4 linked regions of the Astyanax mexicanus genome follow. The protein of the gene in region 1 purifies or fractionates together with the protein of each later gene. This does not show direct contact. Links are inferred from orthologs where the notes say so. Each region holds a gene or a part of one and is shown on either strand. Other genes may lie near its edges. The genes, in order: ppp2cb, ppp2r3b, tcp1 and strn4.

What was found.
Region 2: the proteins of ppp2cb (region 1) and ppp2r3b purify together in Homo sapiens (affinity purification with mass spectrometry; 3 studies listed by BioGRID and IntAct, counting the BioPlex papers as one, with this or other methods). This does not show direct contact. The link is inferred for Astyanax mexicanus from reciprocal best matches to the Homo sapiens genes PPP2CB and PPP2R3B.
Region 3: the proteins of ppp2cb (region 1) and tcp1 purify together in Homo sapiens (affinity purification with mass spectrometry; 3 studies listed by BioGRID and IntAct, with this or other methods). This does not show direct contact. The link is inferred for Astyanax mexicanus from reciprocal best matches to the Homo sapiens genes PPP2CB and TCP1.
Region 4: the proteins of ppp2cb (region 1) and strn4 purify together in Homo sapiens (affinity purification with mass spectrometry; 4 studies listed by BioGRID and IntAct, counting the BioPlex papers as one, with this or other methods). This does not show direct contact. The link is inferred for Astyanax mexicanus from reciprocal best matches to the Homo sapiens genes PPP2CB and STRN4.

Annotation. Positions count from the first base shown.
Region 1 is NC_064427.1:27,864,179-27,872,302, reverse strand, and holds the start of ppp2cb (serine/threonine-protein phosphatase 2A catalytic subunit beta isoform), read right to left. Parts: upstream 3,100-8,124; 5' UTR 2,635-3,099; coding exon 2,533-2,634; intron 1-2,532.
Region 2 is NC_064418.1:6,029,394-6,036,369, forward strand, and holds the start of ppp2r3b (serine/threonine-protein phosphatase 2A regulatory subunit B'' subunit beta), read right to left. Parts: upstream 3,045-6,976; 5' UTR 2,937-3,044; intron 1,884-2,936; 5' UTR 1,837-1,883; coding exon 1,489-1,836; intron 1-1,488. UniProt on the Homo sapiens protein: The B regulatory subunit might modulate substrate selectivity and catalytic activity, and might also direct the localization of the catalytic enzyme to a particular subcellular compartment.
Region 3 is NC_064420.1:22,435,484-22,443,131, forward strand, and holds the start of tcp1 (T-complex protein 1 subunit alpha), read right to left. Parts: upstream 3,173-7,648; 5' UTR 3,100-3,172; coding exon 3,027-3,099; intron 1,528-3,026; coding exon 1,442-1,527; intron 1,333-1,441; coding exon 1,204-1,332; intron 96-1,203; exon of another isoform or gene 1-95. Other genes in the region: uncharacterized protein LOC111194026, read left to right, coding at 5,285-5,320, 5,630-5,677, 5,779-5,901, 6,043-6,090, 6,202-6,324, 6,470-6,580, 6,703-6,774, 7,616-7,648. UniProt on the Homo sapiens protein: Component of the chaperonin-containing T-complex (TRiC), a molecular chaperone complex that assists the folding of actin, tubulin and other proteins upon ATP hydrolysis.
Region 4 is NC_064425.1:35,551,129-35,558,976, forward strand, and holds the start of strn4 (striatin-4), read right to left. Parts: upstream 3,009-7,848; 5' UTR 2,817-3,008; coding exon 2,529-2,816; intron 1-2,528. Other genes in the region: fukutin-related protein, read left to right, coding at 3,321-3,382, 3,510-3,625, 3,992-5,433. UniProt on the Homo sapiens protein: Calmodulin-binding scaffolding protein which is the center of the striatin-interacting phosphatase and kinase (STRIPAK) complexes.

The sequences.
Region 1 (8,124 bases):
TCTGATTTGACTGATGTCATATTAATGTGTGATAAGTGGTGCTTAAATTTAACTGTTGACAAACTCAAGTTTAAAATAAGAAGACTGAATCACTCAAAATGTAAAACCCCTACTGACCAGACCCTAAAGATAGTCAATCAGCTGAGACAAGTTTAATACTGCATATGACTGAAGTTAACTTTCTTAATTTACAGCAAATTATTAAATCAGACTAACCTAGTATACGTGTTATACACCACAATAAAATGGTTTAGCTCCTGTTACAAGAGGAAAAAATAAACTTGTGACTTAAGGGGAAAATAAAAAGTCTAACAAGTTTTGTAAATATGCTCACTAAGGTTTTTTTTTAACACGTACGAGCTGTGAGAACTGCCTACACTGGACAAAAACATACTTAATAGCTCAATAAAATGTAATATTGCAGCTAATTATCAACTAACTAGATCAGCTGGTTCCAGTTGGACAGTTCCAGCTGAGAGTACAGAAATTTGACATGTCCAGCAACAACTCACTCTCAACTGATGGAATGACTTCATTCATTACACAATCAGGAATTAAGAGAGCCATTCACTGTGTATTGAGTGAATCACAGCTAACGCAATCATTATATCACTTTAAAGTGTACATTTAAAGCTGACTTCATTACACACTTTACTGTAGCTACACAACTGCATATACACAAACTGTATTAGTTGTATTTTTTATAGTATTCCCTTCACCCTAGTCCCGTCACAACAAACAATGTTTGACAATAGATATATTGTCCCATAAATAACGGCAATAATTGGCACTATTATTTTAAGACTATTTAAGATCATTAATACATTTTTTAGACATTTCTTCAATTTAGCCAATAATAAAAACCCTTAACTATCTTAAATTAAATAAAACAAAACCACCTTCTCAGTAGCTAAGTAAACAGAACGGGCAATATTGAGGTCAGCAAAAATCACAGTGGCTAGATCCACGAATAGCACAATTGCCAAATCAATAACACAATAACTGTGACAGGCCTATAACAGGTCTATTTCTATTCTAATTTATCTTTACATATAGTTAAATTGCCCTTTTTTATAGTTTACTTCATAACTTATTTAATTCACGTTTAACACAAACACCTACAAAAGTATCTAAATAAATAATACTCCAAGTTAGTTAATTAATAGCTGTAATTTAAACCTAAAAAACTTGTTTATTTGCCTTAGCCAGCTAAATACTTGCTGGTTGAAATACAGCAAGTTAACTAGGGCTTCATGATATTGGAAAACCTGAAGGTGTGTTATGTTGCTGCTCTCAGATATATTGTTTCACTGCTTAGTCATAGTTCTGACTAGTTTTTGCTACGTCATTATTTTGAGATACTAAGTCATTATTTCTGATGCAATCATTATCTGAAGAAGTCATAATACTGACAAACTAGATAATTATTTTAAGATACTATCACCATAAGAGCTTATATTATTGTTTTTTTTTTAGACAATATGCCCTTATTTAGAGAAACTAAGTCAAAGTTAAAGGATCATTATGCAATACAATGTCATTGTTTTGAGATACTACTTCATAATTTAAGAGACTCATTATTTTAAGATACTATCACCTTGAGATACTACATCATTTTCTAAGATATGTCCTTATTTAGATAATAAAAGTCATAACTCTGAAATAAAAGATCATTAATTTGGGACACATTACGAAGATACCACGTCATTACTCAAGATTACTATGTTATTCATATTATTATATTAAGATAGAAATACTACATTATTTAAGATACTACACCAACATTTTAAGATGCTACAAGATTATTTTAAAATATCATTTTAAGATACTAGATTATTGTTTTTTTAGAGAAACTAAGTAATTATTCTGAACTAAAAGGCCATTATTTTGGGATACTCTCATTACTGAGATACTACGTCATTAGTATAGGATACCATTTTTAGATACTACGTCATTATTTTAAGATACTATCATTTTAAGATACTATATCCTTGTTTTTAGGATAGGTCCTTTTTTAGAGAAACTGAGCCATTATTCTGAATTAAAAAAAAAAAACTTTATTTTGGGATACTCATTTCCGAGATAATACATATATCCAGAGATATGTCATTGTTTTGAGATACTGTCCTTATTTTAAGATAATACGTAATTATTTTCATACTCTTAAGTCATTATTTTGATGTAATACATTTGAGTGTACATAAGCTATATAAAAGGCTTTACTTTAATTTGTAAATTCCGAATAAAACAATCTTCTCAAATAGTATCTCACGTTTTAAGTTAACCTAGCATCTCAAAATAACGACTTAGAACCTCAAAACAACTTAAACTAGTATCACATTAGTATAGACTGTAATAAACATTTAACTTAATTAAGAAAAACACGTTGTTATTATGATCATTATTATTATTACTGTCGGGAATGTTGTTTTATTTCTATATTTAGCGGTAAAATTAAAACACCCCGCTAACAGATTAGCTATAGCGCTAAGCTGGGTAGGCTAAGCTACAATTAGCCGTTAGCCGCTTTACCTTCTCGCAGAGGGTCCGCACTTGGTTCTCGGTGAGCTGCTTACACTCGTTCAGCTGTTCGACCCACTGGTCTAATTCTTTAGTAAAGGCTTTATCATCCATCCTCGGCGCGTCCTGGAGCGCAGTACGGGCCTCTAGCTATGGTTTCTGGGGCTGAGCGGAGGTCTGTGTAATCCGGTACCCGTTGAAACCCCCCTCAGAACCGGCTGTGTGCTCCTGCTGGCGTCGTTTAGCTCTTTAGCTCGCTAGCTAACCTAGCGACCAGCCGGCTGGATTTAGGCTCAGCGGTGCGGGCGGCCGCTTAGCTCGGCTTAGCTTAGCCGACCGAGGGCTGCTTTACCCCGGACACTTTATCTAGCTGAACCCGTCGAAAGCGGGGAGACCGCGGCTCTAAAACAGGCGACTCCGCGCGTTCTCCCGTCTGTACGCGTGCTGATGGAGGGCGGCTCGGCGGGACCTGCGGCGCGGTGTGGCGGATCTATTTCAGTGGCTCCCCCGCTCTCTCCCTCCCGACCTTCCCTGGGAAACTCGCTGTGTAATGGCCGCTCTGCGTTTGCCTCATATCGGCGTCATCGCAAAGGCATTCGCGGAGGATGCGCGTCGCTCCGGCTGAGCCCGCGGGATAAACCCGGTACCGCCCTCCCGCGGACCAGCGGACCGAACTGGCCCTGCTCTTCAGCTTTACGTAATTCACATACAGCTCTGGAAAAAAATGAGACACCGTTTAAAAATGATGAGTTTCTTTGATTCTAACAAATTGAAAACCTCTGGAATATAATCAAAAGGAAGATGGAAGTGGCGTAAAGGAGCATGCTAAGCTGCATGAAATCTGTGATAAAAAACAGTATTATTCCATCAAATGTAGATTTTTTTAAACTCTTTAAACATTATGAATATGAACTTGTGTGTGTTGTTTTTTTACATTATGAATATGAACTTGTGTGTGTTGTTTTTTTGCATTATCTAAGGTCTAAAAACTCTGCACCTTTTTTGTTATTTCAGCCATTTCTCATTTTCTGCAAATAAATGCTTTAAATGACAATGTTTTTATTTGGCATGTTGTCCGTAGTTTATAGAATAAAACAGCAATGTTTATTTTACTCAAACATATACCTATAAATAGCAAAATCAGAGAAACTTATTCAGAAACTATAGTGGTCTCAATTTTTTCCAGAGCTGTACGTCTGCTGTTTTTACACTGAGAGCTGAGAGCAGAGTCTACCCACTCCATATCGCCACTTTTATACCAGAAACTGCCTGCTAACCGCTAGAGGGAGCCCGCGAGTGAGTCCTCAATGAATAGAGGTCTATGGAGCTAATCGGCTAAAAACTCAGATTAAAAATAGTTATTAACGTTTTACCCGGAATACACTTTTAATTTTAGAATGCAGAATAAACCCTTTCGCTAATACGTTGAAGAAAACGTACCTGTATGTTGCAGTTTCTCTACAGTATACAGGTTTTAGGCAGTAAAGACGCTAGCATTACTGCTACTGTGAGCTGACTGAGCTGAGCTGATGCTGATGGGAGTTTACAGGTTACAGACAGAGGAGCACTAAGTTTAAAGCGCTTATACCTAAAGTTTAAAAGCTTTTAAAATTGTGTCTGCGATACATCTGATATTGCTCTGTGTTAAAGAAATGAGTACAATTTGCAGTATAAAAATTAAAACCATGTATAAACTACGATTTTGTTTAAAGGCTCCATATAGACCCATTCATTTTGGACTCACTCGGGAGCGCCCTCTAGTGGCTGGACAAACGCAGAAGAGACTCTTAAGTGGGAATTCTCCTCTTTAATAGAGATTTTCTGCTAAAATTATTATTATTATTTGGATATTTAATTCAATCCAAATTAGATGTACAGCAACTCCATAAAATCACGCGCTGTGATGCGACTCAGCAATGCTGTATCAGCGGCAGTTCAAAAGGAGGGGGGTTGAATAACTGGCTGTGTAAATTGGGGAGAAAATGAAAGAAACATAGAAATCGAAAATAAACTAATAAAAAAAGTATCATAAAGCATCTCGTGACACAATATTATCACAATACATTTCCCATGATAGCATTGATATCACAATACTGTGATTTTGTTGTACTGTTGAGATTTATCGCACGACAATTTACTTCATGGCATCTGTGTTACTAAAGAGGATAAAATACCAAAGAATTATTAATTGATGTCAGTTTCACAGAATTAGACAACTAATATTCTTCACATATCCTACATAGTTTCAAATATAAAATTCTATGAGATTATTTTACCTGTCCCATGTTTCCGTCTGGACTGGCTGTAGAAACTTTTGACTGGGATTCCCACCTTGTTTTCAATCACTTAACTATAATGTTGTCATGTGACCACTAGACAGTACAGGTGGTGTCTCCATTTGAAGCTAAAGAATTAAGTATAATGGTGTAGAGAAGCTAAAATGTAATGTCCTCATGTGAGGACGCTGGGTCTCAAGAGGATATATCACTTTATCGATATTTTTAGGCAGATGGCGGCGCGTTAACACGCAGCGGCCGCTCCGGGTCCGTTAAATGGTGCTTTTGTGTTACTATTTGTCGTTTTTTCCGTTTATTTCCTGCAAATATGTGCATCGGAACACCCGTGCACATGTTCTACCACCGCCAGACCCTGCTACAGTGGAGAAATCAGCCAGAAAACACGCTACCGGACGAGGTTCTGCAGACGCTACTTGAGCTTAGCCTGCTAAGAGACCCAGGCCGCCAGCCCGCTGTGTTTCCTGACGCCGGAGCCCAGCGGAAGTGCCATCGCAAGCGGTGCGAGCGTAAGCGGAAGCGCGGAAAAAGAGCCAGGATCTGCGCGAGGCTAAAGGCTAGTCCTAGCCGGCCGGCTATACCATCGCTCTTTCTGGCAAACGTCTGTTCCCTTGACAATAAACTGGACTACATCCGACTCCAGCGAACAACCCAGCGTGAGTTCAGAGACTGCTGTGCTTTGGTTTTTGTGGAATCGGACAGCGCCATTCAGCTAGCCGGGCTAAACGCGTTCAGAGCGGATAGGAGCGCGGCTCTATCCGGGAAGACCCGCGGTGGAGGCGTGTGTGTTTACATCAACACGGAATGGTGTAACAACGCTGTGACTGTCGCCAAACACTGCTCTCCGCTGGTGGAGTTCCTGATAGTCAAGTGCAGACCTTTTTATTTAGTACGGGAGTTCTCCGCCGTGCTAATAGCTGCTGTCTACATCCCACCCAGCGCTAGCATTGGTGCTAATGCTAAAGAGGCTCTGTGTGAACTGTATCGGACTATCAGCGATCTGCAGAACAAACACCCAGACGGACTGTTTATTATCGCCGGAGATTTCAACCACGCAAATCTCAAGTCAGTGCTCCCTAAATTCCATCAACATGTGGACTTTGCAATGAGAGGAGCGAGCGCGCTGGATCTTGTTCACACAAACATCCCCAGCGCGTACCGGGCGGAGCCCCGCCCCCACCTCGCTTTCTCGGACCACATGGTGTTTGGCTGACTCCAACATACACACCACTCATCAGATGCTCCAGACCAGTTCAGAAGCAGGTGAAAACCTGGCCGGCAGGCTCCATCTCTGCCCTTCAGGACTGTTTTGAGTGCACTGCATGGGACATGTTTAGGGAGGCTGCTACTGAAGGCGATTCTGTTGATTTGGAGGAGTATGCAGCATCAGTCACTGGCTACATCAGCAAGTGTATTGATGATGTCACTTTCTCCAAGACCATCACTACACGCCCAAACCAGAAGCCTTGGATGACTGCTGAGGTACGTGCGCTGCTGAGGACCCGTGACTCCGCCTTCAGAGTGGGTGACAAGGTGGCCCTGAGGAAAGCGAGAGCCGACCTGTCAAGAGCCATCAGAGAGGCAAAGCGAGCACACGCCCAGAGAATCCACAGCCACTTCAAGGACACAGGTGACGCGCGGCCTATGTGGCAGGGCATCCAGGCAATCACCAACTACAGGACAATGCCACCGTCCTGTGAACATGATGCCTCCCTCCCTGATGCCCTGAACAACTTTTATGCACGGTTTGAGGCACAAAACAACACGATGGCGAGAAAGACCATGCCCAAGCCGGACGAGCAGGTGTTGTGCCTGACTGCAGTGGATGTGAGGAACACTCTGCGCAGAGTCAACCCACGAAAAGCTGCAGGACCAGACAACATCCCCGGCAGAGTGCTCAGGGAGTGCGCAGACCAGCTGACAGATGTTCTCACGGACATCTTCAACATCTCCCTGTGCAGCGCCACTGTCCCAACGTGCCTCAAGTCCACCACCATCGTTCCCGTGCCGAAGAAGTCCACAGTGTCCTGCCTCAATGACTACCGTCCCGTTGCACTTACACCCATCATCATGAAGTGCTTCGAGAGGCTAGTCATGAGGAACATCAAGACACAACTGCCCTCTTCACTGGACCCCCTGCAGTTTGCGTATCGTCCCAATCGCTCCACGGACGATGCCCTCACCCACCTGGAGAAGAAGGATACTTACGTCAGAATGCTGTTTATAGACTTCAGTTCAGCATTCAACACCATCATCCCACAGAACCTCATCAGGAAGCTAAGCTCGCTCGGCCTCAACACCCCCCTCTGCAACTGGATCCTGGACTTTCTGACGGAGAGACCCCAGTCAGTCCGGTTCGGGGGCAGCACCTCCAGCACCATCACACTGAACACTGGGGCCCCCCAGGGCAGTGTCCTGAGTCCTCTGCTGTTCACCCTGCTGACTCATGACTGTGCTGCAAAACACAGTTCTAACAGCTTTATCAAGTTCGCCGATGATACAACCGTGCTGGGTCTCATCACCAAAGGCGACGAGTCAGCATACAGAGAGGAGGTGCAGCGGCTGACAGACTGGTGTACAGTCAACAACCTTCACCTGAATGTGGACAAGACAAAGGAAATGGTTGTTGGCTTCAGGAGAGCACAACACACCCACTCTCCACTCAACATCGACGGGTCCTCTGTGGAGATTGTTAAGAGCACCAAGTTCCTTGGTGTCCACTTAGCAGATAACCTCACCTTGACCCTGAACACCAGCTCTACAGCCAAGAAAGCCCAGCAGCGTCTCTACTTCCTCCGGAAGTTGAGAAAGGCCCGTCTCCCTCCACCCATCCTCACACTCTTCTATAGAGGGACCATTGAGAGCATCCTGAGCAGCTGCATCACTGCCTGGTTTGGGACCTGCACCGTCTCTGACCGCAAGACCCTCCAGCGTATTGTGAGGACAGCTGAGAGGATCATCTGCGTCTCTCTCCCCTCCATCACGGACATTTACACCACCCGCAGCATCCGCAAAGCAACCAGCATTGTGAATGACCCCACCCATCCCTCACACAAACTGTTCTCCCTCCTGCCTTCGGGAAGAAGGTACCGCAGCATCCGGTCCAGCACGACCAGATTCTGCAACAGCTTCTACCCCCAAGCCATCAGACTCCTCAACTGTAGAGACTGAACTGATGGTTTTTCTGTACATGCACACACACTCTTACCCCACTTACCCCAGAAAATGGAAAGCACTAAAAACCCTACTACCTCACTGGACTCTATTGCACACTGTGTAATAGAGGTAATTACTACCTCACTGGTCTTTT
Region 2 (6,976 bases), on another chromosome or scaffold:
TATATATTATATTATATATTTTATTATATAATTTTTTTTCAGTGCAAACCAAGTGTGTCCCATATTGTACCATATGAAAAAATCAGGGTCCTTTTTTTAAATATCAGTGAAAAGCAATTTATTTTGTATATGTTTTGGTATTTACTGTGAAGCGGTATTATTTTTTATAAATTTATTTTTTTAATTTAAATGATTGAAATATTAATGTTTTGAAATATTGTAAAAAAATTACACTGAAATGTACGGTAAACTTAAATTAACTGCGCAGTTGCAGTCATGCTCACTTACGCATGTCACTAAGCTACTGATAGCCGCAGCTGTCTATCCAACTCTCTGACCCCACATTGCAGGCATTCACAACCAGGAAAGTCCATCCAAATATGGATCCCTCTCAAAAGATTTTCCACTATATAGTATTCTATTATAGCCTAACGTATGGCATGGGAAATATACAAATTCTTCAATGATTGACTTCTTTCCTGGATAACCTTACCTATATAAGGCACAGAATGTATGTAAGTGTGATGCTCTACTGAACAAAAAAGGCCTGAGCCTTGTAGACAGATATGTCCACCCTGATCACTGATCAGTACACAGTGGGAGAGCCATTAGTATTCCTGGGATTGGTGGACTTAAAATGCTTCCACCTCTCATTCCATGGTCCAGTCTTACTCCAAAGGAACATGTGGAAAGTATTTCTTTACACAATACAAAAGCCTATGCACAAAGCCAGCCCTACCAGAGATACTAAATACACAAAGCTACAGGGAACCAGTCTTCAGCAGCCTCTTGTGGTAAAACAGAGGAACTCAAAGCTGTCAACAACCCCTAAACTAATGTAAAATATTTACCAAAGATTAGCAAATTAACACCTGCTGTGCATACACTGTCAAAAAGCAGCTTTACACACATCTGGTTTTGAGCCCCAGTGAGAAAACCAGTGGTGACAATATATAATAATATAACTTCCTCAGAGTGAGAAAAAAAATCACTCAGAGCATATGTGTCCTCCTCTGTTCAGTACAGATATACAGTCAAAAAAGTCAACTCAAGACTTGTCAGATTTTGCCACTAAAAACCAATCCATTACTTTAACTATTTATTACTCATTATTATATATAACTCATTATTGTTGTTGTTATTATCATTATTATTATTATTATATAAAAGTGTAAACATTAACAAAGACATGCCATTGCAATTTTTAAATGATGTTTCAGCGTCAAATTAACTTAATTTTGGATTCTGAAAAATCTGAAGGCTTAGGGCTTCAAAGCTTCATAGGTTCCTTGTCTGCGTTTTACTATTTTGCCAAAATTTGCAGTAATAAATGCTCCACTTTTCACTGTAACACTAACCCAAGAATATCTATCGATGTGTGTCTACAAATAGTAATAAATTTAGAAGGTTTAGCACCAGTCGATATCGGAGTTGTGGTTCTGCATCATGGCCACTTCCATGTAACAAGGTCAAAAGTTTCAGTCCTACCTTTTTAACACTGACAGAGCGTCGTAGAGCCCTGCTGTTTGGTCCTCCTCTGCTATTGCTGCCACCCCCAGACGGGAGCGTGGCTGACGGAGGGCTGCAAGGAGCACTGAGCGATGCAGAAGTCCTCTCTGACATATTACTCTTTGAAGAAATGTTGTTGTTTTCTGTAAAAACGAGGGAGTCCCTTCCATTGCAGTCCTCTTGTCCAAAATCCAACGTATCTCCATCCTTGATCTTTCTGAGGTAGTCTGAAAGTATCACCTGAGTGCTGGGCTCACTCAACCAGTTGAGGAAGAGCTCATCCACCTTCATCTTCAGGACTGGTTGCAAAACTTGAGGAGAAGGCATTTTGGATGTTTTTATTTTTCCTCCACAATACAGTTACGTAAAACGCCCTGAATGTAGAAAAAGAGGAAAACCAGAAAGACAACATTATAATCAATATGCAGTGACTTCTTGTAAAAAGATAAATAAACACAATCAAATTGTCAAGATAATGCTTTCAGAATCATTTGAATACAATTTGTTTGGACGACTTATGAGTCCATTATCTCCTTCCCACGCCTTAATACAGCGATGCATTAGGATCTTGTAAAAAAAAACAATTATGCATTGTGCTGAATAATAGTCATTTAGAGCAGTTATTAGCAGGAAATGAGAAACGGCTGAAATAAGCCATTATAATCAAAGAAACTCATCATTTTAAGGTGGTCTCTTATTTTTTCCCAGAGCTGTAACTTGCATGTAAACCACATAGCTAGGTTAGCTAGGAAGCTAACTACTATGTGGCTACAAGCCACAGCATAATTTATATTTAGGTAAAAAGCCTAACGTTAGATAACCTATATTGTTTTATATGGACACACATTTAAGCATCTACCTAGGTTGTGTTTAACCCCAAATGTTGGTTATTTTGAGCCATGTTTGCAAAAGAAACCCCAAAAACTGTTATTTCAGTAATTTGCCCACTGTTAGCTAACCAAGCCAAATTACACTGATTTCAACTGACACATAGCTAGGTTAACTAGATAACAGTTAGCTTCAGAAGCTAACTCACCGCTGTAGATAGCTAACGTTACTTAGCTAAATAGCTAGGTTTACTTTGTTTACAAACTTTAGCCTGGTTGTTCGCACAGAGTATAGGACAATACGCATTATAAACAGAAGTTCTGAGAGTATAATAACTGACTGGATAGCTAGATAACTAGTTTAATAACAGTATAATATTCAGGAAATATCGTTAGCGCTATCCAGGGCCCTGAACTAACGGAAAGTTTATCAGTATCCCCTAGCAGATACGAGCTAAGCTAACCAGCTAGTTAGCCAAACACCGCTTGCCGCTTGTGGTTTAGTTAGCTAGATAGTTATGAAAGCCATAACGCTCCTCTTAATCCTGTAATGAGTGTAAATATATACAACTGAAGCTGTAAATGTAAATATTTACCCACCTGCACAACAAGTTCTCCGCACAACCCGTCTCTCTCTCATTTCTCCGGCCGGGTTTACTTTGAATCAAACTCTCGTCTCCACAGGTAACCGGGAAACCGAGTCTCGCGAGACTGCAGATCTGAACTCCTCACTGCTGCTGAATCAGAGCGGAGTTTATCTCAGGGGGCTTTCTCTTCTCACTGCAGCTATAAACTACACCTGAAGCTGCAGTTAAAGGTGAAATTAGCTTATATGTTCGTCGGTTTGCTGAATATTATGACTAAATACAGCTTTGTGTTGTATATAGTGTTGAAGCTGGTCTAAATAATAATAACTATACTAAGAACACTATATATAAAACACTATAATTAGGCTTTTTAGCAGCTGTGTAAATTGTGCTGTGGCTTGCACGCCTTAATAAGTCGTGGTCATGCAATACTATTTTTTTTAACATGGTGTCATCTTAGGGGCTCCGTAGGTAAATGCAAAATTAATATAACCAACTTATACAGAACCAGCGACAAGTTTGTTTGTTTAATGTATTTTCTACATTATAAATTAATATTAATTTTAATTAATATTAAAATCAGCAACTATTGTTCAGCACCTCCAGAAACTCGCTGAGAAAACTATTCCAGGTGGAAATATTGTGCTTTATTTAATATTAATTTTCATCATTAATATGCATTTCCATTGTGTTTAACAAGTAAACAGCAATCTTAACTAACCCCCAATGTATTTTTATCGACATTTCAATCTCAGGTTGGAGCTACACTTTAAATGACGGTTTAATCACATCTATCACCATCTTCTTTAATCTTCTATTCACTCTCAAACGGTAAATCCCGAAAATCTTCTTGAAAATAGCATTGCATTTTTTGGATAATTCAACCCATTTAGCACAAATTTAGGTAATTTTAATCAAATAATAGAAGAAACCAAGGCCATCTCTACAGTAACTCATATGTTGATAAAATAATGCAATCAAGCAAATGCAACTGACACACTAGTTGATTTTTTATTTAACAGTCATACTGCATTATTCTTTTTTTTCTTTCATAATAAAATATACTTTCAGATTTGTGTTTTGCAATATATATAGAATATGGACCAAATGTGTAACAAGATCTTGAGTCAAGAGAGCGGGTAGGCAACAATACAAAACAACATAAAAAAAGGAACATGTTGCCTGACTAAAGATAATAAACATGTGTCTCAATCATAAAATATTTCTTAATTTTGGTCAATACTGTATAGAGCAGAAATCAATATGAAAATGTAAAAGACACAGAAAAACTGGAAAAAACAGCCACAACAGATAAATGCAAAATATTGGAAATACTTTTAAAAACATATCACTGTTAATGAAAGATTTGTGATGTATATGATATTTAATTATTGTCCAGCCTCACCTTTACCCTCAAGGGCACCACCCGACATCAGCAACCGCATGAAACTATCACATTTTTTATAGTTTAGGAATCTACAATTTATTAAGATTTTTTTTCATTATATTATATTATACTATATTATGTCATGTTATATTATATTATATTATATTTTATTATATTAGTATAATTAGTATTATATTAGCTATTCTTCTAAACTTTATATGATATTCTTAATGAATATTTGTTTTTGTATTCATCACAGTAGCTCCAGTACACTTATATATATATGTGTTAATTCCATAACATAAAGGCAGCAGTTCTTGCAGGGTTATTTTTCATTATTAAATGATCGCTGTGACAACAGTAGTTTTGCTGAAACGCTTTAACAATGGTGAAATATTTTCATGTATTCTGCAGTGCGTTCCACAATTTGTTGGATCTGTTATACACTGTAAACCACCCACACCCTCTGATTGTTAATAAAAGTACAAAGAAGAAATCAAACCCAGTTCAGAAAACATTTAGATTCACAATCCGCACAGCTAAACCCAGCCGCAGTGGGGAGAGACTCTTTTATAAGACACTTCAATTGCTCTCAGATGTTTGCACTCTCCATCTGAGATTACGGTTAGGAGGAGGGAACAATGCCTTCTGCCTTCCCAGATCCTTTGAGATTTTTCTCATGATATATCAATGTTAAACTTACAGCGCTGGGCCGGCATTAAAACTGCATTACCCAAATGTAGCAGTTTCAAACGGCAAGAATGATTAGGTGCCATTTTACTGTGAGGCGTGCTTTGTGAAATGACAACAGTGCCAAGAACAGTCTTTCCATGCAGTCTTTCCATGAGCAGAAGAGCTTAGGCTGTATTGACCTGCAGGGGTCATACTTTACTAGGGTAGGGTTGCAGTGAAACATACATACATACATAGGTACACACAGCATGTACAGTGTACTCTTTCACAGTTTTCAAGTTTCAAAAAAAAATAATTTTACACCTTTGTGCCTTTTTCAATCAGGATATGCTGGAGCTTGTTCTTTGAGCTGGCTAAAAGAGCAAGAAAGGGGAGAGTGTTTGGCTTGAGAGGCTATTCTGCAGAGCCAAGCGGATCAGCTGTAATAATGTGAGGTCCCTGTTCACTCACTAACACCTCTCAGTTAACTAACTGTGTTACAACCTACAGTGCTGTAGCAACACTACTCCTGTAATAATAGATTTCCATGTTTAGCTCACAGGGGCAATTGATTTTGTCTGGCAACAAGAGAGAGAAAAATAGGAACATCGTTATGTGCATATTCCTTGTATTGTTTTATTTAATCACACTGAATTATTGAGGTCAGGCAGCATGTCTTCAGTAATAACTAAAGAACAATGTGTTCAAGCTATTTATTTGATGATATGTTATTAGCCGCCTTTAAGGAAAGATAAGCCGGCATTTGCTCTCAAGATTAAAAGGAGTGGACGTTACATCACAGGGCAAATTATTTCATGCATCAAAATGCCTCAGTTGCCCCCCTAAATTGTTTGCCTGCACAAAACGAGTAACCCGAAAAAAATGCTTTTCATCTGTTCGCTGACTAGAGATTTGGATCTCGGCTATAATGGCTCAAACATGGGAAAGAAAATTCGAGTTCAACGTCCCTTTAAATTGGCAGCAAGAAAAAGGTCTGGCTGGACAAAGCCACTCTTCTTTGCCTTATGCACATGTTTGCACGCCATGTGAGCACGCCATCGCCAGTCTCCCATTAAAAGCAACTAAAAGAGGTTTATTCGTTATCACCCAGGGCCTCACCTTTGAAAACACATTGCAGAGTTCTTTCATTTTAGCTCCCCGAATTTCATCATTCATTTTACATTACATTATCTCTCACAGGGAGCTTTGCTTGCTGTCGAGGCGCCGCTGTTGCTTCAAGAACTGTTTGAATAATTCAGAAAAAAGCAGGAGAAGATTAGAAGGCATTAGACTTGACTGGGTGAGGAATCAGTCCTACAACTCCCATCACAGCCATCTGGGGAAGTGTGCGCAGGCAGAGGGTGATGCTTCTGTGTGTAATGCCTTTATTGTGCTCTGTAATATTGCACTGATTTGACTGCCGGGCTTAAACACACTTCTAGAAAATACAAGCCCTGCCAAATTATATCTGTTTGTTAAATTATGCTACAATTGCGCACCATATATACATATTTGTATTATTTTTTTCTTTTTTTCTGCACCCCAGCTGTAGTCACTACGTTTAAGCTCACTATGTTGCTCTCGCATCACCAGACAGACGAGACGTTTAGACAGAGCTGAAAAACCAGGGCAGCGGCCAACTTATGAGTGCTGATGCAATGTATTACAGCCCTAATTACGGCAGCACTCCTGAGAAGTGATCAGTAATGAGCCCGTAATGGTTTGTTAACAGTCCCTCTCTAGGGTTGATTGATGTGCTTTGTCAAAAATTCACCCACACAACTTTGGTACGGTACCAAGATAAACTTTGCTGTTTCTTTTTTTCTCTACCAGACATTGTGTTGCTGTTATTAATTTAGTCCTAGTTTGAAAAACTTTAAAACTGAACACTGGAGCTTGGATATGGGAAACATAGAAGTATACTTAAAGGGCATTTATACAAATTTCCACCAAAAACCTCAACATTTCTGCATTATTCAGTCATTATAAAATTC
Region 3 (7,648 bases), on another chromosome or scaffold:
TGCAGACCCTTCAGACTCTGATAGACTTTCTCTATCCTGTTAGCATAGCCACACACTCTGATAAGGAGCAGGAGGGTGGTACTAAAAACAGGACTTTGCCAGTACAGTGTATTAATTGTGTGGCAGTGTGAACAGCTAAAATAAACTGAATAAGGTGCTCTTCATTTTTACTCCGGCCACTTGATATGTGGAATTAAAATCCAATAAATATACAATGCGCAAAAATAGCCAGATCAGAATTAATTTTATTTTTAATGTCAAAACAATGGATTACGAGGCACATATTACAACCGCTCTGAGTTTAAAGACATTTCAGAAGAAATTGCTGAACAAATAATAATAAATTATTAAAAATTATAGGCCTAAAAAAAATATCAGACAAGGCAAAGAAAGTGACTTTGGAGAAATAACTGCACTCTATGGAAGTTGTCAGTAAGAATACACAATGATATTGGAATCGTTTCGGTATCTGCCAATTGTTGCTTTTAGTTTTTTTTTTAAGAATCATAGGCATTGGCTGACATGGCAAACATTTCAAAACCAATACTTACTGATGTTTCTCCAAGTCTCTCCAAGTTATGAACATGGCTAAAACTAAATAAATGTTTAATATTGGCCCACAATTCCCACGTCTGTGTATCCCTAGTTGTCAGCAATTGGAACTCCTTGATAGTTACAGTAAGGCTTGAGAGGATTAAACCGAAACTTTGCGTGAAGTATTGCCCAATAACTATTCAGACAAATATTAAAAACTTGGCAAAAAAACTCAGATTTGGGCCACTATTCCTGCTGTGAGAACACAGAAATGGTGAACCACATACAGGGAAAACTCAACTCGGGTGATGGTTTTTATGGAACAGTTCAGATTCGATGATTAAGCACTTCAGTAATCAGACAACCTAAGCAACACAAGTTTATGAGTTAAGTCTACAAACCTGAAGCAATTACATTTGCACTGTGCATTGGCTACAAGAGAGCTGTATAACTAACTCTAAATGCAGACAGGTGGGCTGATGCAGGCTTAAGCCTACTGACAACAATTCTTTGCATCATTGAGAGGCTATAAGATATTGTGGCTTTAAGATGCATGAATTAACCTAGTAAATTAATACATTTCTTTAAAAAAAAAAAAAAAAAAAAAAGTGGTCATTTACACTCTTAACTATAACTGTAACTAAGAAAAGATAACAGTTAGCAACTTACCACAGATGTGGTTCCATCTCCAACTTCTTTGTCCTGCAGTTCTGCGAGCTCACAGAGGACCTTTGCTGCAGGGTGCTCCACTTCCAGCAGCTTCAGGATGGTGGCTCCGTCATTGGTAATGGTTACATCCTGCGGTAAACAGAAGCACACACTATTGATAAAAGCATTCCCAGAAAGCCTTCAAAACAAAAGCAACACTTTATTAAATGCCTTAATAATCTGAAGTTGCTGCACTTACACCAATGTCGTCGACCAACATCTTGTCAAGCCCTACGGGACCGAGGGAGCTCTTGACGATGTTTGCGATGGAGGCCGCAGCCATGACTGTTAAACACAGAAAAATGAAGTCATCAAAACATGTTCAATTATCTAGCCATCAGGAGAGGTTCACTGTTTGTAAACTAGGCAATTATTCCACTTTATAATTCATACCCATATTACACACTTTCTATAAAATACAGCCACATTTATTCAAACGTGGACAGTGATTGATTAACTGCAGCTGGTTACTAGGGCTGCACAGTATTGGAACAAATTACATTACAATGTAAACAGACTAAATAAAAAAAAAAGGCAATGATGCAACATATAATGGAAACAACAGTATAACTGCATCAATGATTAGAGCAAAATTAATTGTATTAGACAAGATATAATTGACCATCTGGTAAATACTGTCATGTAAAATGAGAACAGTGCGATATTTTTTCTCTTAGTACTAAGCAGCAAAAAATGAAAAATGTACAATGAAATTGCACACAATCATTGCGTATTCTTTGTGTATCCTAACCTGACTGAACAATGTTACCTTTTGGTTAATTTTTGGGAAAAGGAAAAAACTGTTTGTGCATCACTTAAAACAGTGTCACCTATTTACAAATAAAAAACTGCAGTTACATAAGAACTAGAAATCGTTAAATTCTTTTTATTACATTTATGTTGGCCAGCCTTACTTAAAATGCTGATTTACCATGAGGGACACTTAAAATAGGAGTTATTAACAAGAGTGAAGTTACAAAAAAACAGAGCTGCATTGAATTGTGACATTTACTTTCAACACCCAAGTACATTTTGAGCTAAATAGTATTGTAGATATTTTTACACAAAGTTCTTAAGAGAAGACTTTTCAGACATTTACTTTAACTGAAGTAGCTGTTATTTATATATAGTAGGAACTTAGTCCAACAATGATCACACTGATCTAAAATGTCTGATATTGATCAGATATCAGTTCCTCACTTTCACACTGTGGCTGCAGACCCACAGGCTGATTTGCATACTGTAGCTTTCTGCTGGAGCAGGATTACAAAGCCAGAAATTCAGAATCTAAAATAAACATTAACAAACTGAACACTGACCAGTTCTGTCAAGCAGGGCCGCTACTGACTGACCGGTGTAACATTTAACTTTTAACAGTTTATTATTCACTAAATAATAGGGTAATGTTCCATGATGCTGAACAACAGGCTAATAACAGTGGCTAGGCTAGGTTAGCCGGCTAGCTAACGGGCGGAACCGGCAACACTGACAGCAAACATAACGGGCTGCTGATAAAGAAACAGTTAATACTGATATTAATACAGAGACTCGCGCATAAAGACCCTTAAATCCGCTAATTAGCCAGGTTACTATCTTTAACCGGTAACACACTAAACTACAGGCGAGTCTGAGCAGTTTTAATCCGCACGTGGAGGCTGAGGGAGCCGTTAGCCGTTAGCATTAGCATGGGCCGGTGAACCGCTGTAACTCGGCACGTTTTCTCTCTCTGCTGATCCATAGAGAACCGAGCGCGGGTCTCGGAGCCGGTCCGCGGTTAAACTCACCATTCTGAGTCCGCACGGACTCCCCGGTGGTCCTCTGACCGAGAACATTGAGCGGACCGTCCAGCACAGACATGACGGAGCGGAGAGAAGGAGGAGAAGGAGCCGCGGTGCACTCTGGGTAAAGAACTGCCGCCCGGCCTGGAACCTTCCAGAGCCCATCGGCTGAAAATACAATAAAATTAAACAAACCAAAATACAAAAATTTAATTAAACCACAGTAAAATAAACCAAAATAAATTCAAATAAAATAATATAAGTTAAATGAAAATGAAATAAACTATAATTAACTAAACTAAATAAACAAACAAATAAAGAAAAAAAAGAAATACATAAATAAATAAATAAATGAAATGAAATAAAATAAACCAAAATAAATTAAACTAAACTAAAATAAAATAGAATGAAATAACTACAATTAACTAAACTAAACGAAAATAAACAAAAACAACAGAACTACCAATAATAAACCAAAATAAACGAAACTAAAACAACATAAAATAAATTACAGTAAAATAAATTAAAACCAAAATAAAATTAAATAAAATCAATTACAGTACAATACTTTAAACTACAGTAAAATAAACTAAACCAAACTAAACTAAAATAAAATAAACGAAAATAAATTAAACTAAAATAAAATAAGTTAAACGGAATAAAATAAACTACAATTTACTAAACTAAAAAAAAAATAAACTACAATAATATAAACTAAGCTAAACTACACTAAATTAAAATAAACAAAACAATGAACAATAATAAACCAAAATAAACTAAAATAAAATAAACTACAGTACAATTATTTTAAATAAACTAAAATAAAGTACAGTAAACCAAAATAAACTACAGTAAAATAAAATAAAATAAACCAAATAAATAAATAAACTATACTAAACTAAACTAAAGTACACTAAACTAAAATAAAATAAAATAAACTATAGGAAAATAAAATAAAATAAAATAAACTACAGTAAGATAAACTAAAATAAAATAAACCAAAATAAACAAGACAAAACTAAACTAAAATATACTACAGAAAACTAAGCTAAAATAAACCAAAATAAATAAAACTAAAATGAAAAAAAAAAACATTTTATTAAATTAAATGTTCTACTTTTTTATGTTTACTACATTAAAATGCAAATTTACTATACATTTGGTGGTCTTGAAAAAAATCCATGCTAATTACTATCTAAATATTTTAATTTTCTTTGTGCGAATGGGCACAAAGAAAATGTATTTTAAATTAATAATAAAATTATTATTATTATTATTATAAGTATTATTTTATTATTATTATTACTATATAATAATAATAATCATCATTATTATTATTATTATTATTATTATTATTATTATTATTATTATTATTATTATTATAGTTGTATTGCATGTAAAAATCATTAATCATTAATAATCATTAATTTAATATTCTTTGCTATCAGGGTTCACCACAACATATAACTGCACTATAATTAAGATAACTGTACTAATGACTGTGTTATAAAAATAAATATTTTAACAGTCAGACATACAAAGCATTTAAAAATGGGAAATTCCACCCCATTTAAAAAAGTTATTTTATTCCTGCACATAGATTAAATTATTTAAATATTTTGAATAATAATAATAATAATAATAATAATAATAATAATAATGATTATTATTATTATTATTATTATTATTATTATTATTATTATTATTATTATTGTTGTTGTCGTTGTTGTTGTTATTGTTATTTTTATACAAGTTTTTTTTAAATAAAGTTTATTTAATGTATTTAATGTTCTTTGCTACCAGGGTTCACCACAACATGTAATTGCACTATAATTGAGATAACTGTACTAATGACTGTGGTATAAGTATACATATTTTCAGTCAGACACGCAAAGCATTTGAAAAATAAGAAATAAGGAAAAAATTAAATAAAAACATAATATACGCGTTTCTATGGCTACATAAGTGACGCGGCGCGCGTCCTCGTTCAGCGAGACGATTGGATGATTGTTATGTTTACAGAGTTCCTGAGCTCAAGAATAGCGGCAGCAGCAGCAGCAGCAGCAGCTTTTCACTGAGGATATCCAGCGATTTTTTGGACAACAGACCCGTTTATTCTTTAATATTTACTGTTTTATTAACTGTATTGTGTTTTAATTATTATATTATTGTTATATTACTTGTATTTTCTGTTATTAATCACATATATTTTGTTTTTCAGGTGTCGAAACCGGTGTGGGTATACTGACACCCCGCGGTCAGACATGGAGTTTTGGCGGAGTGAAGACCATCTCCTGGAGGTAAGTAAACCATTATCTAATTTTACACCAAATTTACAGTGACAAGATAAAACTAGGAGCAGCATGAATTACAGCAGCTGTTAGTTCTGCAGGCGGAGTCTGAGGAAGTGGTGTTGAATAACTAGCCTAACCTAGTTAGCATAGCATTAGTATTTTATTAAATAACTGTATTAGTCTGGAAAGGGTTCCTAGCTTGGGTGCCATAAAGGGTGGCATATGTGTTCAGTGTCAGTGTCAGTAGTAACAGTAAACAGTAAATCCCATTTTTAAAAATTATTGTAATACATTTTTCTTGTATTTCTGTTACAGGGGGCTTCTGGTGGGTCAGGAGACCAGTTCATTCTCCTGCCTTTTTGCGTGAGTTATTGCTGATCTGCCTAAAAATGCAGCATGTTTAGTTTATATTGCATATATTGTGTATATAATCCTGAATTGTTTTTCTTTCCATTTTCCTGAAGGGCACTGAGGAGCTGAGGGACTCCTGTTTGCAGTGGCAGGGTGAGGGTCCAGACCCCTGGATGGAGCTCAGGAGGGTTCAGCACGAGTTCCTCGAGGGGAAGTTGAGGGCCCTCATTGAGACGGTGAGAAAAGCACAATGAACAATTAATTAAGATGCAGAGGAGCATCACAGTCACGTGTTTCACAAACTGTAAATGCATACATATGTAAACATATGTTGATTTATGTTTTTTAAAATGGTTGGAATTTATTTTCTGTTGTAGGTGGAGTCTCACTGCGCCTGCGACCCCCCCATTCTCCTGCCTTTTTGCGTGAGTCTCTATCAAACTGTTTTTATTGATCTGCGTAAAAAAAAGCAGCATGTTTAGTTTATATTGCAGTGTATATAATCCTGAGTTGTGTTTCTTTCCATGTTCCTGAAGGGCACTGAGGAGCTGAGGGACGCCTGTCTGCAGTGGCAGGGTGAGGGTCCAGACCCCTGGAAGGAGCTCAGGAGGGTTCAGCACGAGTTCCTCGAGGGGAAGCTGAGGGCCCTCATCGAGAAGGTGAGAAAAGCACAATAAACAATGAATTAAGATGCAGAAAAGCATCACAGTCATACAGCTGCTTCCAAAACCATATCCCACTTTAAATCTGTTAAATATCTATTAATATGAGTCTTTAAAGTCTCTATCTTCCACTCCATTGCAGCTTTCCTCGCCCAGGCGGCATGGTGGGAGAGTCCTGGTGCCGGTAAGGGAGGCAGCCCCCGCCCACAGGCTGGACTCTACTAAGCCTGATGTCCCAGGTCCAGTTGCACAGGTAAGAGTTTGCAGTTAATCCTATATAATCTATTTAACCTCTGCCTCTCTACTATCTTCAAATGATTATAGATATACAGTTCATTAGGAAACCTGTTTTTTTCTTCCCCTGTTTTCTTCTAGGCTGTGTGTGACTCGGACCTCGTGGAAGACAATGTCAGAGAGAAGAGTTTGGAGCCACCTCCTAAAATACAGGTCAGATCTCAGTGTTATTTAAAGCAGTACATATAAGAAGCTGTGAGAAAGGCACGTGAAAGTAATGAGTACAGTGTTTATTTAATATGTGGTTCTTTAAGGGTTTTAAAAGCATTACACCTTGAAATCCATTTGGATGCTTACGGTAAATGGATTTTGAGTAATTTTAACATATTGTATTTAATAACATCACAGTAAACCTCATACACATACAGTAAGCACTTACACTTTTTATATACATAGATATTTTATATATTTTTATTAATGATTTAGTAATGTCTTTCTGCTTATGTGTGCCTGGTTATATATTTGCTGCTGTAACACTAGATTAGTCCCCCTACTGTGGGACTATAACCCCACTGACACCCATACAAACTCTGCACCCTGCACTTAATTTACACTGCATCTATCAGACTTTCCCAATATTATATAGCATTCTGCCCCCTGCACTTCCCACTCAACTCATTCCTTACCTGCACTTACTCATAGTTATTCTGTCACCTACTGGACTATTTCCTCACTTCCACACACACACACACACTCTAGATATCTGCATATCTACATCTGTGCAATATTTGTTCTGTGCAATATTTGTCTATAGTGTAAGTTATTATGTGTGTTTTTATTGAGTATACTGTGTATGTTGTTTATACTGTAAAGGTATCTGTCTATCTTATTTTAAATTATACATATTTTTATTATTCTTCTTGTAAATATTGTTCTCTGCACATTAGTGGGAATCTGCACCCAATTTCTTCACTCACATGTACACCTGTACTCTGTGACGTGACAATAAAAATCTTGAATCCTGAATCTTAGCTTGTTTCGTTTTTATTGACAGTGCCAAGAAGCTCCAGCTCCAGACCTCACCACC
Region 4 (7,848 bases), on another chromosome or scaffold:
TCCATCAGCAGCAGCTCAAAAAGAGGTGGAGTCTGACTTCACATGTGAGAAGGCATGTGCTAGTCTTTACCCTCCTGGTGTTGGGGCATCACTAGTAATAGGGGAAGTCTGAATAAATGAGTTGGGTAATTGGTCATGTAAATTAGGGAGAAATTGGGAAAAAAATAGAAAACAATTCTGGTTTTGTATGGAATTCTATTTTTGTATTTATTTATTTTGTTGAATTTATTGTTTATTGATCTCATTAAATAGTTAAATAGTAATGATACGATACTTTATGTCATTTGGAGCGACCACTCATCATGTGGTGCAACCTATAATAACAGTAACTACTAAATTTTAAATAAAGTATCAATTTTCTGTTGCTGAAATATTAACTATTGATACTGTATGCTGAAGTTAATGGTATTTTAGAAAACATTTTAACAGTTTTATTGGATTAACAGAAAATTACCCTATTAACTACATTAAAGCCAGTGATTGTGACACTAAAAAACAAAATTGAGATCCTTATTTACAAAAACTAAAAAATAATGCAAATACTTTATTAATAGACACTTTATATTAGTGGGAATTTGTAAACTAAAAATGAAGTATATTATGGCAATGTATTAATTTTAACATAAATCACGGTCGCACCACATGACATTTTGTAAGGCCAAGGCCAATTCTTCTAAATGAAAATACACTAAAATAACTCAATCTGTTTGTGTTCACAGCATTTTAATTGCAACAGATACAAAATTTTTTTGTATTTTAAAATTGGCATGTTGAAAATCCTTTGACCCATATATTAAACCTGTGTATAATTACTTAATTTTTAAGATTGCTATATGTATTGTAAAAAGCGATATATAAATAAATTTGATTTGACTTTAGTAAAGTGCAATAATATATAATGTGCTGCCCAACCCATCCTGACTTCCTCTGTCTGAGAACTGGGTCAAGGGCAGATAACTCCTATTTCTCCCTCTTTGCCTCCAGAGATATTTCATCAAGTAGAACAGCACACGTCTTAGAGATAGGAAAGAATTTGGGATCACACACCAGGAACAATGCATCTCCTAAATTTTCCAAGTCTTAATGTTTGCCAGTTTAAACATCATGTAAGGACACATGTGCACTGAAATGTCTGTGGTATGGGTTAGGTAATTTACTGAAATGAATGGCTGATGTGAGGGTGTGGTGATACAGTAATATTTTTACAGTATTTAAATATTGGTCTTTTATACATGTGCAAAGTTCTCAGTGTCTCTGTTTAAATGTGGAGCTAGTCTGAGCTTGTTCATAAAAAAAATCCAAATGGATTGGCTAAACGCGATGTATTTGATCATGCTGGAGGTAAAAGTTGGTGGGCTATCTGACAAAAGTTGGTACTTGTTATTATGTTTTACTACCCCACACGTTCAGTTCCCCTTTTAGGAAGAGATTGGACAACAGGTAGCGTTTTTCGTCCAACATGAAACGGCCACCTTCTTCGGGCCCCCAATACTGAACCATTTGGAGCATTTCCACCAAAAAAAATAGGCTCTGGAACCTGAAAAGTTAAGTTTGCAGACGGAACCAAAGAATATTTTCAGCTTAAACCCTGACAAAATATGTGGGCGTATCTACATATGCAGGAGCCATTGTGCAAAGACCTCTGCTGATGAAGTGGTCTGTGACGTATCCTCTCACCCACTAAAACTGGCGCAAACATGGGCTGGTTCACTGAAAAGCACCAAGGCTCTTATAAGCTTAAACAGAACCAGTTATTGTGGTCGAAAAAAAGTGACATTCAGGTGTGCAGAAATCTACAGGTGAGGTAAAGCATGCGTTGGAACAGGAGCCACGCCTACATGAAGAGAGATGGAGGGCATGGCAGGATTAATTGATGTATTAGCCAACTAACAAAATAATCATTAGCTGCAGCTCTAAAACGGGCCTTTGCAAGTCTGCATCGGACGGCTTATATAGATAGGTGCAGTAACTAACTGTGTTCCAAAAAGGGAGCCTGAAAGTGATGAACGTGTTCATCTAAATGTGCCACAGCTCCTTACTCTGGGCGGAGGAGCACAGCCACGGTCCCTGCTTTACTACAGACTCCGCCCACAAACCACATTACGTCATCGCTCTTTTTGCTCGCCCTGGATTTACAACCAGATCTCAAACTGAATCTCAGGAGTGGTTCATCGGTCACGTGGCAGCGCATTTTCTGTTGATATGAGCAGCAAACCAATATACCTTACACGCCTAACACTACACCACTAACAGCACAGTTACTGTAGCACAGGGAGGGAGCGCATGTTACAAAGAAACTCAAACAAAAACACAGTACAGGCCAAACCTTCTCACACACACACCAGACAAATACGCGACACACGAAACAGCATGAACATACAGCTGTACATTATTATACTTTCACTAATACGCCAACAACCCGCAGCACCAGCCCTGGGTTCTGACTCTACTGTTACCGCTGCTCCTCACACATTCCTTCAGTCCTGTTGACTCTTTAAAATAAGAACATAAATTAATGTAAAAGTTACCCTCAGCTCATCTCGCTCCGCTTCCCAGCGGTATTTCTCCGCTTGAAAGCGCCCCCACTCATACTGGATGAAGTGTAAAATCCCGGGCAGCGACAGGCCCGCCTCCCCGTCCTGCTGTTCCCGTGGCTGGGAGGACCCAGGCATGGCCCCGGCCGCCGCTGATGGAGCCGCGGCGGTGGGCGCTGCAGACGGCGGACCGAGCACAGTCTTCGGCCCGTTGGGATTTCGCCCAGCTCCGCTACCCGCAGTATTTTGATTCGTCCCCCCGCCGAATCTTTCCGCCTCCATTACAGCGTGTCGCCAAATCACGGAGAAACTGGAGTGAGAAAAGGCTCGAGGTCCCCGTTCCTCGCGCGCTCAAACGGAGCCGTTTCCTATTTTCCTTCGCGACACGGACAAAACCGAACACACAGCCCGAGCCTGCCAAATACTGATCCCATGCACACCGCCGCGCCCTCCCCCCTCACTCCATTATTCCTTGCTGTGGTTAAGCTCTCGAGCGCACCCTCGGGACGCTTCCTGCTATATTGTGATATCCGCCGAGCTTCCTGCGCTTACTACCCACAAAACACTGAGCACGAGACTCTGCTGGGCCCGCACCCGCACCCGCGCCCCGCACCGCCCGCGCGCTCCGCATGCTGAAACAATGACCGGCGCACCGGTGCAGATTCAGCTCAGAGCCTAAAGCTACTCTGGATTTAGATGTGCACTGTGTGACTGATCGACTGTTGCGGAATACAGAGAATCTGAACGGCCATGTGTGGCCGTGATAGACCTGTAAGATCGAGCTAAATGTTTGGTCTAAAGGATAGACACAGTGACCATTATTTGTGTCAATGTACAACCAGAAACAGGTAAGACAGTGTTCTTTTTTTCAATCGCTACTTGTTTGTTGTTACAGCATATACATTACAATCGGGTTTTTTTGTTTATTTAAAGGGCGATCTAATGCGTTTATGCCTTTCTTTGTGTGTCTTACAGTCTCTGTGGTGCAAAAGATTGGATGAGCAAAGGCAGAGAGATAGGATGTCATAATCCACCACCCGCCTACTCTGAAAACTTTTGTTTCTCTTGTACAACTACCCCGGAGTCAATGGGTCAATTCATTTTTTTGTTTATTATTAATGATATTATGCATCTAAATACAACTCACAAATTCCTCACCACGTTTTTGTTTGTTCCTGACATGTTTAATATGAGAAAAACACTAGCAAAAGACCACTCTGGTCTTCACGTTTGTGTGTACGTCACATAGTATAATTCTAGTTTTCATTGTATATTATATAAGTGTAAAACCTGTATAGTGAAAATGAGAATCAGTTTCTGTCAGGCTCTGCTAACAGGAGCCATTGTGCTGAACTTGTTAATACTGTATTTTGTATCCCGGGCACAGCAGCAGATGATTGAGAAGCGCATGCAGGGAAAAGGCTCAAAGAAAGTCTCTCTATCTGCGTCTGGCCTAGGAGCTGCTGGTGGGCTGGTAGTGGGAAACATAGCAGAAGCCAACAAGGTAGGAGGTGAAGTAGGTCTGCGAAGTCCTCGTATGACCATCCTGCTTCGGGAGTTTGAAGACTTTGAGAATTATGTCGCTGAATCTGCACGCTCCTTCTTGCACCAGAGGCCAGAGCTGCCATTCCTGGTTGTGGCTGACACCCTGCCTTACCCTCCTCTGGCTCTGCCTGAAAATGCCCGTTTGCTGGTGCTGTCTCCGAGTCCAGACCAGCCTCCTCAAGCACACCGTCCAGAATTTTATGTACAGTCAGAATTTGTACTGCTAGTGCCTGACGGTGTGGAGCTGGATCACGGGCGGCAGCTTGAGAGGCTAATTCGAGAGCTGGAGGGTGAGGGAGGTGGGCCAGTACGGCTGATTGCAGCCCCGGTGCTGACTCGTGCTGCGGTCCAGTGTCTTCACCTGCAGGTGAGCCTAAAAGAGTGGACAGCAACATACTCCCTTGGGGCACTGGGGAGTAGTGGCAGTGTGTGTACTGCTTTGCATGGTGATGCTGTAGTCCTCATTCGTACTGAAGACTTTTTTAACCTGTCTGACCCCTTAGCACGCCCCCTGCTATCTTCACTGTTTATACAGACTGCACTGCGAGGCTGGAAGGTAAAGCTGTTGGAGGGTCCATCATTCTCTGCAAGCCACCGGCCTCTTTTCACTTCGGCACACAACCAATGGAAGGCGGACAGCCGGCTTAAAGAGGCTGCCAACCAACTGATGCGGAGCTTCGGTCTTAAACGCTTAGTGTGGCCTGATGGAAGGGAACAGTGGTTCGGCTGTTCAAAGGAGACAGCACGATGTTTCGGCACGGTGCGTGACGACACACCCGCGTATCTTTACCTGGAGCGCTGGACCCCACCTTGTTGCCTGCGTGCTCTCAGAGAAACAACAAAGTATGTCATTAACATCTTAGACAGTTCTGGTGTGCGCTATTGGTTGGAAGGGGGCAGTTTGTTAGGAGCAGCCAGACATCAAGATATCATCCCCTGGGACTATGATGTCGATTTGGGTATCTATCTGGAGGATGTGTCAAATTGTGAGTACCTGAAGAACCTAGACTCAGGGTCACTGGTGGATGCTAACGGGTATGTGTGGGAGCGGGCAGTGGAGGGAGACTTCTACCGCATCCAGTATAGTGAGGCTAACCACTTGCATGTGGATCTTTGGCCTTTTTACCCACGGAATGGAGTCATGACCAAGGACACTTGGACTGATCACAAGCAGGATGTAGAATTCCCTGAGCACTTCTTGCAGCCACTGGTTCCCATGACATTTGTGGGCATTACTGCTTATGGACCCAACAACCACCGTGCCTTCCTGGAGCTAAAGTTTGGGCAGGGGGTCATTGAGAACCCACAGTATCCTAACCCTGCTAAAAAAAGACTGGATAGGAGTCGAATGTGAGGTTGTGATTTATTTGTGGTGTTAAACTTTGAACTAAAGAGAACAGTTTAAAATCTTAAGGTTGTCAAACGTCTGAGTTTATCTGTTTTATACTGTTGTCATGCTTAAGGATTTGAAATACACAAACATTCCCACAAAAAAATCAAAAACGATCTCCAAAATGTTTGTTTTAATATGAAAGTTTAGAAAATCAGTACGTACTATGTGACAGGAGAAGGCTTTGGTTAAATGACGGATTACAAAATACTTGCTTTAGTGGATATAAACATCATATGAGTAGTAAGCTGTGCTCATGCTACTAATTTTAGTTTATTAAGTTATGCTAAAAGTGTCGCACATTTTGTGTTTTTGTAATTAATACATGACCATTGTCTTTTAATAGCTTAATTTTTCAATAGTTCAGTAATTGGTATATTATGAACTTATTTGGGATTTTATAATAGGAAATTATTAAAAGTATTAGATAAAGAGAGCTGACAAATGTATTTCAATTTCAAAAAAGAGCAAACATTTAGTGGGGAAATTGTATTATTTTGACGTGAATAATGTAGATATTGCAATTTATTTGTCTGACCACAAGGTGGTGGCATGCTTCTGTTGTTTTACTGACTGGGGTCAGGGGTACTATAATGTACTGTTATTTTAAACATTAACTTTCTGCAAAATATGCATGCTATATATATATACACACAGAGCTATAGCTTACACCTAACCTGCCATTAACTTGCATTTAATTAAATATCTGTTTACTTCTAATCATAAACCTGGTCCTAACTGTTACTTAACCTCAACCAGAAACAACCTAACCCTTACCCTGCTCCTAAACATAGTCCAGGCTTGAAACCTGACCCTGTTTTGCCAGTTGTGTTATAAATATCTGGATAATAAATATCTTTTTAAAACAATTTTAATGTAAGTAAAAAAAAATGCAAGTTTATTTCATTCAAGTTTATATGCATTTTACCTCTTGGAAGACAAAAGCTAAATTAAGCCCTTTGACATTGGGAGAAGAGTGTTTCACACTCCTCTATGCAGAAATCTTTCAGCTGTGTGCTTTTACCTTCATCTATCTTTTGGCAGATGGTCTCTTACATTTTCCTGAAGCACCCTCTAAAAATAAATCAAATGATCATGGATCCTATGATTGAAAAATATACCAGGTTAAATTAAGTGTATTATATTTTTTATAAGAATGTAATTAGAATGTATACAAGGCTGAAGTGTGCTGTTCAAATGATGTGAGATCAAACTGGAGCTGCAAGTAAATCTTCCTTGCTGGAACTTTAATTAGGATTTGATTCTGTGTCAGATCAGGCAAAAATCATGCCTATAAAAAGACTTCCTAAACATCCTAATTGCTACTGTGTAATAATTTTAGTAATTTTATCACTGTTGGGTTTTCTTTGTAAGTTTGCCGTCATTTTTATAACGCAATGTATCATTCAGTTGTTTACCAAGTGACTTATGATATGGTGGTCTTTGCCTGAAGCCAGTGTCATAGATAAATCTCCAGTAGAGCAATGATACATTCAGACCCACACAGAAATAGTTCACTGAAAATAGAAGCATATTTTGCAATAGCTGTCCTATTCCCTTGACTTACACATCACTGTAAACAGGTCCACTGTGCTGGAAAGGAAACCCTACAAGAAAGGACTGGGGGCAAATGAATGACATTTGTTTTTTTTACATGCAAAAATATTTTTGCCTTACTGAAAGATCCCCAATAAACCCCACAGGTCTGTATAAATGTAAGTAATGTATGTTGTATATAAGTAAGTAATGTATGCTCATATTATAGCTATTAACCTCTTGTGTGAGTGGACCAATCGAGACTTTATCTTTGAATCGCCACATTTATTCTAACCAAAGTCATCCCATAAAGCTTCTGACTATAAAACCAAAAGAAAAGTTAAACTTCTAGTAATTTTCTTTTTTTGTTTAGTTAGGTGAGTTAGATTCTTAAATCCCAGTTAATTATTTTGTTTGTTATTTTGGCTTAGTCCATTCTGACATCTTTTGAGTAATTTTTGAGATACGTGTAAAATGTAAATGCGGACCAAATAGTAAATAAAACAACTTTGATTATTTAAAACATTGCCTTGTTTTTGTTTTGTTTTTTTATGTTATGGTCTTGGTGAACCCCGGACTGTTCATAAAATTGAGCGGCTAATAAAACGAATAGCAGAGCTGAATCCGTCAGAACCAGTTAACAAAGCACATAATTAAATATAAAATACTTTATTTAAACCCAGTAACAAGTACATTCTGCATAGTCTGTAAGATAAATCTCTTTCATTTCAGCCACAACAAAACCATCAGCATTTACATAAATCACTGGCATAATGTTCTCACCACAAAATATTGGAATGATTAGCCTCCAACTGCATAACTCTACTGCAGATATATACACTC